Linked DNA regions of Danio rerio. The protein of the gene in region 2 interacts with the protein of the main gene of each other region in a pairwise test. Links are inferred from orthologs where the notes say so. Each region holds a gene or a part of one and is shown on either strand. Other genes may lie near its edges.

Region 1 (4,407 bases), on a different chromosome or scaffold from region 2:
TAATATGAACTGGGAATGATGGAATGACTCTCTAACAGAGGCTACATGTGCTGCTAAAGATTACAGACACAGATGATGAGAGGTTTTCAATGACTGTAGGCTATACTTTGTGTTGTTTTGAACCTAATTAAGGACGAAATGTATGTTGTGTGTACTTTTTCTGTAGTTGGTAACATATCGGGGACTGTAAGGGGCTGTATGTGTTCATATGTGTTCATTTGTTCATTTGAAACGAGCCACTAAAGCAGACCCCCTAAAATATGGCACCAATTTAGACAAGCTTTATCATTTACAGATCTCTCAATCCAGACCCCTATTATGAGAAATCATGTTTACTCCTTTGATTGCAGATGCTACATTTAATTGCTGGATAGAAAAAGGACTCATCACACTGAACGATTTATGTAGCGATACCAATTTCATGTCCTTCGACCAAATAAGAACAAAATACAATATCCTCAAAACACATTTCTTTAGATATTTACCGATCCGCAGTTTTATGATTTCTAATACAGTAGACTTTCCAACTTTACCTAGAGAAACATTACTTGACACCATTTTAAAAACCAACCCAGTTCTCAAAGGTATTATAGGTGTGATTTACTCTTTTATCTCCTCACAAAATCTAACTTCAGTACAAAGTCGAAACAATTAAAAAATGAACTTGAGTTGATTCCCTCAAAGGAAATTTGGCAAGACATTATATTTTATTATTATATTTATTGTATTTTAGGTGTATTACGGTAGGGGAAATCGTGAGTGAGGAAGCTGATCTCAGAAGCTCCAGGGAGTGAAATCTAAGAGAAATTAAGATTGTGAATAAAAATAAGAGTTATAAAACCTTCCTTTGGCTTAATTTCCACTGTTTTAGGTCTGTTTTAGATCTTGACTGAAAGAAGCTTTATTTTTATGATTTGTGTCATTGTGTCAGATTGCGCACCCAACATAGTAGGCTACCTAATATGGTGTGTATTTGGTATAGTATGTATATTTATTTATATATATATATATATATATTTATCGCAAAATTGTCCGCAAATTTCTATGAATTACCACCACACAATTACTAATTTTTGTCACTAAAAATAGAGAGACTAAGCACAACCCTGTTAGACCAGGGGCACAAAGCATATTTTTCCATCCTTAAAATAGCAAAAGTGGACTTAGACATGCCCTTGATGTTTTTGCACCATGACCTTTAGACTTTGCGCCTAGATCATTAAAATAGAGCCCATGGTGTTATTGAGGAGGGATATGAGAAAGGTTATGGAAAGGTTTGGTGGTCTTAGTGGGTTTAAGGGTGGGCTTAGGTGTAAGAGATGATCAACAGTATAAGTATAAATATATTTACAGAAATGATCATCATTTTTAAAATATAACTACACTGTAAAAACATCCATGTAGATAATAATTACACTGACCCAAAATGATTAACTGAAATGTAAGTACAAAGTAATTAAGGCCATACGATATAAAGCGGAACCAACATTTCAATAGGAATTGTTCTAGCTCAAATGCACTTAGTTATCACAAAGGTCATTTTAAGTCTTAAACATCCAATATTTGTAAATCTTACCCTCTGAGTTAAGAGTGATGAGCGTTACATTGTTGTTATTCTGAGGCTGGCCGCTGTTGGACACCGAATCGCTCGTTTCCGAACCACTTTCCTGATCATCCTGAATCTCCTCCTGAACTGGAACCTTCAGTACTATGGTTTTCTGTCTCCCTCGCCCTACAGTACTGCAACACAAAAATACAAAGAAGACTTACAGCGCTTTCAGATTAGCACTTTTGGTCCTCACTCGAATTCGTTTGACTTCAGAGTACGGTACGTTTAGAGGTTGTCGTTGGTACGGTTCGTGCAAACTCTGGTATGGTTCACTTCTGATTTGAATGCATTCGTACCAAATAACTGAAGTGAACCGCCAACTGTAAAACAAACTTTAGCACCCTTACACTGACAATTTTATGTGAAGAATGTGTATTATTTTACACTACTTTTTATTAACCAACATTTGCAAACAATAATACATTTCCTAATAAAAAATTTTGTTTATTTTTTTTGTTCATTCTCGTAAAAACATTAACTAAAATGAACCAATGGAACCTTGTTGTAAAGAGTTGCCAAAATATGAATGTGTAGTACTCACTTGCTGAGCAGATTTTCTAAAGAGTCTGATGTGCGTGGCGAAGTCTCCTCCGTCTTCGCCCTGTCTCCACTTACTATGACATTTGTCTGGGGAACAACACTAGGAAAAAAAAACTCACTGTTAGTGTCAAAATAAATAGTTGGCATGTCTTTGTGGAGTTTGCATGTTCTCGTGGGTTTCTCCATAGTCCAAAGACATGCGGTATAGGTGAATCAAATAAGCTAAATTGGCCGTAGTGTATGTGTGTGAATGCGAGAGTATATGAGTGTTTCCCAGTGATATGTTGCGGCTGGAAGGGCAACTGCTGTGTAAAACATATTCTGGATAAGTTGGTGGTTCATTCCACTGTGGCGACCCCTGAATAATAAAGGGACTAAGCCAAAAAGAAAATGAATGAATTAATGAATGAATGGGCAAAAACATTTTAAAAGTGTTGCAACCTTTTTTAAAAAAAGCCTGTTTTAATACTAATACTAATAATAATACAAAAATGAACAAATGCTTAATATGCAATGAAAACAAACTGGGACTTGTATTATGATCAGGGTCTCTGCAGATATCATAATGTCAAATTTAAGACCTTTTAAGACCTTTTTAAGACCATTAAGTATTAAATTTAACACCTATATCACAATATCAGAACACGCGAGAGAAAATGTAAAAGCACAAAATTAGGGCTAAAATAAAGTTATTTAAATTGAACAGTAGTAAGGTCAGGTTAAATGCACCATTGAACTACAGAAAAAACACATCTTAATGCAGATTTATACTTTCACCTGGCACCGCATCGCACAACTCACGAAACGGATTAAGGCTTTTGTACTTGACACGTTCACCATTGAGATATGTTTTTTTAAATGACAGGGGGCGGTCCAAAAGAACAGAAAGTAAAATCAGACGAATAAAAAGATAATCATTATCATTGAAGATGTTTTTGGGGGCCTCTTTTTTGTTTTAACAAACTTATCCCTCGGAGTTTTTCCAAAGTTTTACAAAAACTTTCCTCCTTTCCCATGGCTGTTGCAATTTCTAGCCAATAATTATTGGTCATTCTGGCAAGCAGAAATGTAACTGTGATAGAAAATAGGTAAAAACTTGATTAGGTATTATAGCTTACTGTACTATTCACTCTTTAAATAAATCCCACTATAAATCCTATTTTATCACTAAAATAAAGTGAACTAGTGTCTGCTGTACAGTGTTTTGTGAAGTACAGTAAAGTACTTCAATTACTCTGTTGTGGTAATACTATAGTTGCTATGGTAACACAACAAGTGTATTAAAAACAAACTACCCAGTGCTTTATTTATTTTTTTTTACAATATAAGGTATATTTTTCTAAAATTCACCACACTTTACAGTAGTAAAACTACACTGTATTTCATTTTATCAGTTCACTATTCTTAATACTACAGTATGCTGAAGCATCTCTGGAAAAGCACGAAAGGAGTCCGGCGGAGCGAGAGCAGATAATTTGCATGTGAGCAGCCAGTGTTTTGAGAGCTCGCAAGCAGTTTTGTCCATGAACAAAGGAAACCTGCGCGTGAGCAGAGATTCGCTCTCTCGTATTACAGCACTCCTGACTTATAAAACTGCGCTTGCGACATTTGTCAGTGAAATAACGGCATACTCTGCCAGCCAAAATCATGTCGCACGCACTCAAAGCGAACTTCCGCAAACACAGCGATGATGTCACATCCGCCGCGCGCACTGAGTTTAATATCAGAAAGCTGATTGGCTATCGCAAGTTGACTTTTTTTGTGGTTGTAATAAAGCAAATTACAATTGGACTAGTAAAATAAAGAACTACAAAACCCCAAAAACCTAGCAACAACAACAAAAAGAATTTAAATAAGCATTAGATGTAGCGTTACATGGACATCGCAAAAATAAGACCTGTGCAAAAATATTTAATACCTAGAACAGCGAATTTAAGACTTTTTAAAGCCATACATATCGATTTTTTAATTTAAGACTTTTAAGACCCCGCGGGGACCCTGTTGTCATTTATAACATATGTTGTACGCCGTAAAAACGGGCAGAAATAAAGAAAAAAATAAACAGAACCAACCATTTAATGAATGGTGCTGGTGTATAAATCACATGACCTATGGTCCACTTACCAGCGTACTTTGTCACAAGTCTGAGTGGCTCCGAATGGGGACCCGGACACCATGGGTACTTGAATCGTTGACTGGTTCTTGCCCATCACTGTGTCCAGTTTCTCCACTAAACCTCGACAGGTCACCTCAAGAAC
Region 2 (5,195 bases):
GAGATGCTTTACAACATAGTGACAAAAAGACTGATAAGTTTTTTTTTAAGATCCTTCATAACCGTTTCTGTCACATCTGTGATGCTGACCAATAGAAACAAAGAAGCTCTTTCACACACAGCTTCCATAAACATGACAAAATGAAAGAGACAATTCGATTTCAATTGAGTTTGATTAAATTCTTTGAAAAGTTTTTTTCTGACAAGAATAATAAACTAGTTAAACTGACTAGTTAAAATAGTTAACATGTTGTTTTATTAGCCTTCTCTGGCTCTTGTTTTTTGAAGCCAGTCACTAGTTCTGTCTTCTGAATGAAAATAAAAATAAATAACTAATTAATAACAGGAATTATTACATAGATAGAAAACAATATAGTTTGAATCAGGCATTAAAAATCTAACTTTAAAAAGTTCAATTAAATTCTTATTCTTACCTATTTTAGTAGTGGTCCTGGTAGGCTGAGTAATGGTTGTAGAAGATACGATGGGTAGAGAACTGGCAGCTGTTGGGGTGACCGCGTTTGTGGTTCGAAAAGTGAGAGTAGCAGGGATCTGCACTGTGCTGAAAGTACTAGGCGTTTGGGCTCTGTTTACAACCGGAGCTCCAGCCCTTATTTGAGCAGGCTGGGTAATTATTTGGGTTGCTCCGATGGCTGGTTTGAAAATTTGTGTGCCAGGTGCTTAAAAAAGACATAAAGAAAACACTGTTAATTAATGCACAGAACTATAGCGTAAGACCATAACAAGAGCACACTGACATACCCTGGAGTAGAGTAATCGGTCGAACAGTTTGGCCTTGTTGGACATTCAGCACTAAACTCATTGGACCCTGGCCAGGCTGGATATTCTGGACAGGAAGACCCTGTATCAGATGAAAGGACGCACATAGATGAACACTTGTTGAGACAATGTGCTTTTGTTGAGTGATGTGCTGGAATCTATATGGTGAAATGGCAGCACCTGTGTGGTAAAGTAGATCGGCTGACTGTTGGTAACATTGGCAATAGATGTTCCAGGCAGGAGAACCTGTGACAGAGCCACAGTGCCCAGTCCACCTCCTCCTGGTGCCAAGATGACCGGCTGCCCTTGCACTGCTTTAGGGATCTCAGTCGGCACAACCGCACGTTGAGTTACTGAAAAAATAAATGACTGATCACCAAGAGTAATGCAGGCTGAATGTCAACAAGACTGCATCCATCTACTACTTTAGTAGTTGATATGACTTTTGCGCTCCCCTTCTAAGGATATTTACACAACAACAATGTACTGAAAAGTTTCTATTCGCTACAAATTTTGAGAAAATATGAGAAAACATTAGAAAACGGTTTGCAAAAGTTCGAATTTTGATGATTTTAATGATTTTAAAACAATTGCAATAAACACTCGCTGGCCACTTTATTACGTACATCTGTCCAACTGCTCGATAACACAAATTTCTAATCAGCCAATCACATGGCAGAAACTCATTGCATTTAGGCATGTAGACATGGTCAAGACGATCTGCTACACTTCAAACCGAGCATCAGAATGGGGAATAAAAAGGTGAATTTAGTGACTTTGAACGTGTCATGGTTGTTTGTGCCAGACGGGCTGGTCTGAGTATTTTAGAAACTGCTGATCTACCAGGATTTTCACACACAACCATCTTCTGGTGGCTACTTCCAGCAGGATAATGTGCCACGTCATAAAGCGCGAATCATCTCAAACTGAATCCTTGAACAATGAGTTCATTGTACTTAAATGGCCTCCACAGTCACCAGATTTCAATCCAATAGAGCACCTTTGGGATGTGGTGGAACAGGAGATTCGCATCATGAATGTGCAGCCGACAAATCTGCAGCAACTGTGTGATGTTATCATGTCAATATGGACCAAAATCTCTGAGGAATATTTCCAGTACCTTGATGAATCTATGCCATGAAGGATTAAGGCAGTTCTGAGGGCAAAAGGGAGTCCAACTCGGTACTAGTAAGGTGTACCTAATAAAGTGGCAGGTGAGTATATAGCACACAAATCATAAAAAACAATTTTATTCTTCATTTAACTCATAATTAAAAGAATTGTGTTTTTTTGTCATTTGCATTTCTTTAAAACAAGTCTTTTTTGTTGTTATTTTGAAGTGTCTGAACTCTATCCCCAGTTTGCTTCTCTTAAATTAAACAAACAGGTGATTCTTCCTAACTTAATTTGTGTTCTGGAGCATCATGTGAATGAGTAAATAATTATTAAAGAAAAGGAGACTCACTTGTATTTGTGATCAGCGGAACCGTGTTCGCCGCATTTACTACAGACGTTAGGCTTGGGATCACCATGGTCTTAGGCGGAGCTGGAACATCAACCACCGGGGCTGGAGTGGAAGTGACTTAACATTGGAGGACGACAAGTTTCAGATGTTATAATGATGTTAAAATTATTATTAAAGTAAAATATATATATTTCTGGAATATCTATAATTAACAAAAGTTAAGAAGATAATTAAAAACTATGTTAAATTTCTCTATAATTAAAAATATTACAAAAATACACACCGGAGGGAGTACTGCTTTCAGCATTTCCGGCTGGTTCATCCATAGACTGCTGTTGCCATGGCTCCAGCTCCTCCTCCTCACACTCCATAAACAAATCCGAATCCATGTTTCTGAAAGAAAGTAAACGTGTTTAAAATCTACAAACTGTGAGGGTACAAATGACAATTGGTGCATTATGTATTCATAAATCAAAAACATGTTTCATTTTAAATTAGACAAGTGAAAAATATTTTTGAACTGAAGACCCTCACCTTCTGACAGGAATCGGGTCCGACCAGTTTTAACGTCAAGACTGGCGTTTACAAAATCCCTTCATCCTGTAAATTATACAAATAAGTATATGAATAAAACATGAATAGTAGTACATTTTGTATTTATATACATTTAAAACAAACAAAAAAAAATCCTGCATTAATGGGGTTAACATCGGATATTCAGAGCGCTGCCGCATCACTTCCTAAAAATCTCCCAAAAAAGTGTGATTTCATCTAACCGACAGGGGCGAAGAGAAAAGTAGTTCCTGGTCACCGATATGCACTGGCTGAGACCAGATGATCTGACTGATAGAAGCAAAAGCATGAGCCTTGGATGTGTGTACAATAACAGAAAATAGGGCTGAAATACAAACTGGGTCGGAACAGGACTCAGCGCTGTGTCTATCACAAAAACTCAGTCACAAATAATGCAGCAACCCCTCGCGCGTCGCCTACTGAGTGCGCACTCCGCATACTGTCCTCCGCGCACATAACGAAAGACGGCCATCTAACGCGTGAATTAAAGCGCGTATTTGTAAAAAAAATACTTACCAGATTATAGTCTATATAGAAATATATTCAACGTGATATATTGAAAGAACACAAAGCCTGCCGGTACGTCACAGACGAGACGAATAAATGCGCTAAATGGGCAGAGGTTCTGTTTTTTCTCCTGCTGCGATTGGTTGATACGCTCAAAACGCCACTTCCTGTTTTGAATTCGCAACGCTGATTGGCTGTAATCTCTGAAATAAGGAGGAGTGGTTACTGGAACAAGAAAATGGCGTCCTTCTCGACAAACGACAACATTTTATACGGTCTAGCCAACTGCTGGTTTAATAAAGAAATGATTTAATTATTCAACACACTGTTAGTATTTTGAGGAGGACCTGTCAAAACCATCACAAACTGTCTTTTCTTAAATCAATTTATGATTTTGAAAAATTGCTCACACAAAATATCTATTATATAAAATTATTTGCTTAAATATTCATATTTTAGCCCTGGTATGCACAATGCACTGATAAATGAAATAAGTGTAATTTTTTAGAAAACGTTCAGTTTAAAAAAATTCTGGAACCGATCACGACATCCGGTTTCATTATGGCTCTGAACGCGGGTTCATCCGCCAATGTGGACAGAACAGCACACTGCAGAGTTCACCGCACTTTTCAGAACAACCGAGAACACAGCACGAATCAGGCAGGACCACTGGTCCGATTCAAAATCAAACGACTCTTATGACTCGGTTCTTTTAGTGAATCAAAAACATTCAAAAGTTCAGTCCATACACACACAATCGTTTGTTCGACTATATATATATATATATATATATATATATATATATATATATATATATATATATATATATATATATATATATATATATATATATATATATAGTCGAAGTAACGACTGGTTTAAACCGATTGCTTTAGTTAATTGTACATTATGAATCAGAAAGTCTGAAAGTTATCATAAAGACATCGAATGTAAATTAAAGCTGCATTCTTTAATTCAAAATATCCACAGCACAATAGAAGTTTTACCATTTATATAAGTAGAATATGCCCTGAATATCCTACTAAATTTAAGCTACAATCTGACAACTAATCATTTCTTAATTGTGCCGAGATAAACGTTTCATAATAAACGTTTCATAACCAGTCGAAGCGCAGAGCAGGTAAGCTTCTGTTTAAGTTGCTTAAGTCAAGCCCTATATATAGCATTGTGCACAGAGAGGACACAACGTGAGCGTGTTTTCTTCATGTTGTTTACTTCTGCATGCGAGATGAAGGATCCGGGCACATCATCTGACGGAGTGAACTATGGCGCTGTCCTCGCGCTGCTGGTGATCAGTGAGTAACGTTTTTTAGTACTTTCAGAAGTTTTATTATAATCTTATTTTAATATAAAAAATGGGTCTGGTCCCAAAACTTCTACTGCATCACAATTTAAGGCCCTGAAATGTTAATTAATTAATTAAATCTTTAATGGCATTAAATGCATGCACTACAACAATTAATGAATATTTCATTATTTTATATTTAAATCAGTGTTCATTTTATGCAAACCAACTATAGTTTTACATTTATACAAATATAAATATTATAATTATTATTTAATAATACTTTATTTTAGTAAATTGGAGTTAATCATGTTTTTCTGTAAGTTTGTAACACATTTTTAATGCAAGTATAGCTGTAAAACCATGTTTTTATACGCACACGCACGCACACACACACACACACACACACACACATGCACACACACACACATACACACACACACACACACACATAGAGGTGAACAAGTTGGGTAAACTTTCAATTTAAAATTTGCCTTCATAAGGCCTGCTGAAACTATACAGAAACTAAATAACAGTTTATTATCAATCTATTTATTATTAATTT
Region 3 (5,176 bases), on a different chromosome or scaffold from region 2:
TGTGTATGTGTGTGTGTTATGATGAAAATCAGTGCGTGCCCAAATCGACACTCCCATTTTTATGCAAATCTTTTTACAGACCCATCCCTCTTTTGCTTCTCCGACACTCCCCCCTAAACAGAGCTGGACACGCCCACTATCCTGACTTTTCCAAAGTAGAGGTGTGAAAACACCCTGCTGAAACAAAGGGGTTTCTTGGGACTTTAAAATGGGTATGGACCTATATAGCAACTTTTTTTATATAACTGATAAGATATTGTGGAAAAAAGGTTGCCGTTCATGCAGTTTATCCAATCAGAAAGAGTGACACTGCAAATATGCAAGTTAGAACATTAACCCAGGATTTAGGAGTGTACAGTTTGAATCATCTGTTAACGATAGCCTAGAGTTACCTGAGGCTTAACAAAGGTGTAAAAGCCCTAATAACTATCAAAACGTTCTTTGAGAAAGCATTTTTTTGATGATTGAATTTTAGGTATTCCAACAAAAACAGCTTCCCTGGTAAATACTGGAAAAGCTATCAAACCTGTACTTGGATCTGCTGTTCAGATGCCTGATGCACAGCTGCAGCCAGCTGGGGTGAGATCTGTGTCGATGTCACCTGAACCTGCACAAAGATAAAGCAGAAATAATACTTTTAACAATCTAATGCTTTTCACATCTTATCTCAGAGCTAAAATGCCCATAGAAGTGTCCCTACCGGACATGCCAGCTCCAGCAATGAGCCCGCCACCTCTGTGCTGTCCGTGTAGATGCAGTTGGCACCCTGTTGGTACACCATTGTGGTTGTGGTGCCGCTGGTCTGCTGGCTGAACTCCTGCAACACCTCTGGGCCTTTGGAGGCCAGCGACTCCAGGAACTCTTTCATGCGGTGCTGAGGTATAGTGCGCGCCTTCTGCCGCACATACTCGTCGAACGAGATCGCACCGCCTTCAATGGGCTCATTCATGACAGGTCAGTCCACCCTGTACAGGAGCCTAGAACACAAGCAAAGGGTATACGTTTACATTTACAAGACATGTTTATATTGTGCATTCTGGTCATTTATTTACACAACAGCAGCATTTGGGAGTTACCAAAGATACCATTATTGTCTTTGTGTAAACTCTAAAAATGAACAAACTATTATAAAACACACATGCATGTTATGTGTTCAGTCTTTGGATTTGTTAGTACTTGTCTAACCAAAACAAAGATGACAAATTTAACTAATGGCTGTGTGCAGGGCTGTAGTGTTTCTATACGAGGTGACATTGCCAATTACTAGCCTGGCCTGCATTACAGTGTTTGTAGTAGGGATGTAACGATTCACCGTGAGTCGGTTGAAAATCAATTCAAATATGTGACGATTCAAATCGGTAGACATGTTGAATGAATGGTTACATTTTTTGAACAGTGGGGGCGCTCTTTACAGGTGCAAACTTACTTTACCTGCACATCAGCGCCGAGCAATCGGTGGGACGAAACACAAAGTGTGAGCAAATATTGCAAAAAGACGTGTACTAATAGAACGACTGTCACAGATGTCTATATGAAAAAATTATGCTTTGCAGCTTTGAATGCTATGGCGATCACTGTGCATCAGTGTTTTATAGCGAAAATGAGAAGATGTTTTTTTTTTACTTCTTTAGTTTGTATTATTCTTTATTTTTTTCATTTGTTTTTAGCAATTTAGTTATGGCAGAAAATTTATTATTTTACAAAAAATGTGCAGCATTTAAGAAAAAAACGAAAGGGCACTTCACCTTCAATTTGTTTAATTTTTTTTTAAATTGTGACTATATCGTAAATCATGAGATTAGTATTGTGAATGGTATGAATTGTTACATCCCTAGTCATTAGTCATTTTTGTAAATGTAAATAGGCAGAGTTATAATGACGCTGTATTCTCCAGGCAAAATATGTTAAAAACAAAGGAAATCGGTTTTCGTTTTTTTACGTTCTTGAAACATAAACCCTTGGAGACTGCACAAAATAAACTTGTTTTATTGTAATATACAAATATGCTTATATGCATAATTTGCAATACATTGATGCATGCATGTATCCGTTTACATATAAAACAGCTCTGATTTCACATGCATAGATTTGCAATGTTCATTTGTGTTTTATTTTAAAGCTAACTAATAACATTAAAAATGAAAATAATTGTATTTATTTGCAAATAAAAATACATTAGGTAAATATAAAATATTCCATGTTTCAGGCTTGAAATATTAGGAAAAACCTATAGCATACAGTTAACTCTGAAGACTGTAAACCCAATCGCCCATAGCAGCTCGCTTCACATTGTTACATCAATCATTCAATAGAATCTCTGCACACAATGCAGATCTGGTTGAATTTTGAATAGCCAATCCTACAAACATGTGAATTATGCAAGCATTCTTTTAAAATGTACAGATAATTGCTTAAACTAAAGATTAAAGGTGTTTCATGTGATATTTTAGTGATGAAGAGCTCTGTATATGAAGCATTCAGACTGAAAGAGCCTCTAACCTTGCTGGACTTTGGACCCCTTGAAGCAAAATAAAAGAGCTGTATTGAGGCTCCTCTCGAATCACAAACCAAACCTTAATATGAACGATCACATAACATAAACGGTATTTGTGTGTTTGTAAACTCGCTTTGCTTACGGTAAATCAAGCAACGTTACTGGACCACTCAATGCTTTGCCCCGAAAATAAGCTAGCATTAATGCTAACGCGCTAACCTTTGTCAAGTGAAACTCCAAAACGCACAGAAGCGGGCGCAAGTAATCGCATTGGGATATTAAATACATTTTTGATATGCTGTTGTGTGGCATTAAGCATTATTCCCGCGGTAGATGTGGCATCGCGCGCGCAGATGTGGGGCTAACGTGAGCTCGCGTGCTAATCTTCCCATGCTACCTTAAATAAAAGCCAAAGCAATTTCCGCCAAAACACGCCGTTCAAAAAACAAAAACCCACTAAAGCTCAGCTAAAGCTGGCCGTGCACACGGCAAGTCCGGTTGCTTTGCTCTATCTCGGTATTTTTGCAGCGCAATGCATTTGTCAACATTTAAGAGCGATTTATGTCGTGACGTGTGCTTATTCTGCTACACACATAAATGAAAGCATTGAAAGCCCGATGCGGCCGGGCGCAAACATGTCCTACCGTAGTGGAAAACACACAAATGCGCTGCTTGGAAGGCTTGGATGGCCGTAATTGTGTTTTTTTTAATAATAATGTTTGCGATAGAGCTGACGGAAGTAGGCCTGCTGTGACAGCGCTAGACCCCGGGCTGTCCTGTAGCGTGAAGGCGGGGACGGAATCGCAGCTCCCCCTTCCGGCTCCACTGCTGCCGCAAGCACACTCACAATGGCATGAACGCAGAGCGCGGTTGCCAGATCACAACAAGAACACACCAACATATAATTTGGAATGCATTTTATTTTTAAGAGGTAAAATAAAAAATGTAGGAGAGGAATAAGAAATTTACAGGGTACATCAAAACATGCTATTCAATACTCAACCGAGAAATTGATGAATCTATTATCATGGATGATAAAAGCATAGTAATCTAATTATTATAATAAAACCATTGTTACACAAGCTGGAAATGCAGTATTTAATAACATTATGTATTGGAATTATAAACTATTCCAATAAATAAATACAAATATATTTATTTGTTCATTATATAAAGTGTGATTAATATTTTTATAGCTTTTAAAAATACATCAAATAATAAAATAAAAACAACCATATATATAATGATCACTGTGTAAAAGCGAGAAGCTAATTAAGTTAGTTTATCAAGTACTGTGTTGGTTGGTATCTTGGTTTATTGTTATTATGGTATTAATTTTGTTGTTGTCTGTGTTGGTAGATAACTAATTCAATAATAATATTTTTATTAATAAGAGCATAATAATAATCAACACATGCCGACAATGAAAATGAAGCAAAAACATTCCATGTAAATGAAAATGCAACACTTAATACAAGTATTTACTGAAATTCTAAATTAATAAGTGTTAGATTGAATTCATTAGCTTTTTTAACAATATGATGTTAATAATGATAATTATATTAATAGCATAATAATAATAATAATAATAATAACAATAATAATAATAATAATAATAACAACAACACCAATAAATATTTCAAATATAAGAACATAAACAATGTAAAACGTACCATAATAAAGATAAATGAACAATAAATAGCCATATACATTACCAAATGTCTTTAAACCAAAATATCCCACAGACACACGCAAACACACACAAATAGTGTGTGTCAGATAGCTAAATTCCATTATAAAGACATACATAGATTTCAGGGACCCGCAAAAGAGTGTTGGGGGTCTGTGTAAAAAAAAATAGTTTTTTACAAAAGAAGGGCGAGCGGTTGGGATCTACATATATGAGATTTATGTAAATAAAAAAGTATGAACAAGCAGCGACTGACAATAACAATAAGCCCCTGAAAACATCCACATTGCTTAAAATCTGCTGAAATGGCAACACCGGCGGAGCTCGTGAGCAGCTTGGCACGGGTGCGCGCGCTCGATGAGTGTGACACTTTATGTTAAACGGCTTCACTCTAACATAAAACACTTCAACCAGTCTGTCTATTCACATATTGCCAGTGTAGCCAATACATCACTGTGCCCAAATCCAATCTAAAACTTTGTTGTTTTCCCTCAGGGGTAAATTATAAGTAACATATGCATGTTTGTTTTTCATTGCTTACTCTCTGCACCACCTGCTGGATAGTTCTCTGTAAAATACTTTGCTATATTATTAATCACAATTAGACTATTCAAATAAAAGACAGACAGCAAATTCCTTTCTAAATCACTCTGAGCATTATAAATCTCACACTGTCATACTGAACGCAATAAAGAGACATTTACACGTATAAAGTGTATGTGATTTTAGCGTGCTTGTGCCTTTAAGCGGGGCTCTATCCGCTCCAGTCCGCCTTAAAGCGCTAGGCATGTGCCAGTGAGGGCCTCCCCCTGATCGCCCTGCAAAAGCCTGCCTGACTGAGCGCTTAAGGTGGACCGGCGGAGATGTGCGGAATCGTGCTTTATCACATCACTGTTATGAGTTCAGAAAGAGTTAATTCTCACGGTCTCTGTCTTAACCCCACAATGACCCTGTCCTATCATTTGGATAAACATATAGTATTCAGAAGCCAT

What was found.
Region 1: the proteins of pogzb (region 2) and banp interact in binary tests that used the Homo sapiens proteins (3 or more experiments, as listed by UniProt). The two-hybrid records come from large-scale screens. The link is inferred for Danio rerio from reciprocal best matches to the Homo sapiens genes POGZ and BANP.
Region 3: the proteins of pogzb (region 2) and qrich1 interact in binary tests that used the Homo sapiens proteins (3 or more experiments, as listed by UniProt). The two-hybrid records come from large-scale screens. The link is inferred for Danio rerio from reciprocal best matches to the Homo sapiens genes POGZ and QRICH1.

What each region holds. Positions count from the first base shown.
Region 1 is NC_133200.1:32,864,092-32,868,498, reverse strand, and holds part of banp (protein BANP), read right to left. Parts: coding exon 4,274-4,407; intron 2,250-4,273; coding exon 2,151-2,249; intron 1,741-2,150; coding exon 1,577-1,740; intron 1-1,576. UniProt on the Homo sapiens protein: Controls V(D)J recombination during T-cell development by repressing T-cell receptor (TCR) beta enhancer function. Binds to scaffold/matrix attachment region beta (S/MARbeta), an ATC-rich DNA sequence located upstream of the TCR beta enhancer.
Region 2 is NC_133191.1:42,522,507-42,527,701, reverse strand, and holds the start of pogzb (uncharacterized protein LOC561483), read right to left. Parts: upstream 3,395-5,195; 5' UTR 3,334-3,394; exon of another isoform or gene 3,021-3,333; intron 2,845-3,020; 5' UTR 2,779-2,844; intron 2,638-2,778; 5' UTR 2,634-2,637; coding exon 2,528-2,633; intron 2,362-2,527; coding exon 2,245-2,361; intron 1,133-2,244; coding exon 960-1,132; intron 862-959; coding exon 762-861; intron 680-761; coding exon 434-679; intron 1-433. Other genes in the region: si:dkey-23o4.6 (retinol dehydrogenase 12), read left to right, coding at 4,550-4,640. UniProt on the Homo sapiens protein: Plays a role in mitotic cell cycle progression and is involved in kinetochore assembly and mitotic sister chromatid cohesion.
Region 3 is NC_133186.1:20,149,185-20,154,360, forward strand, and holds the start of qrich1 (glutamine-rich protein 1), read right to left. Parts: upstream 3,209-5,176; 5' UTR 3,139-3,208; exon of another isoform or gene 2,500-3,138; intron 978-2,499; 5' UTR 950-977; coding exon 701-949; intron 608-700; coding exon 527-607; intron 1-526. UniProt on the Homo sapiens protein: Transcriptional regulator that acts as a mediator of the integrated stress response (ISR) through transcriptional control of protein homeostasis under conditions of ER stress.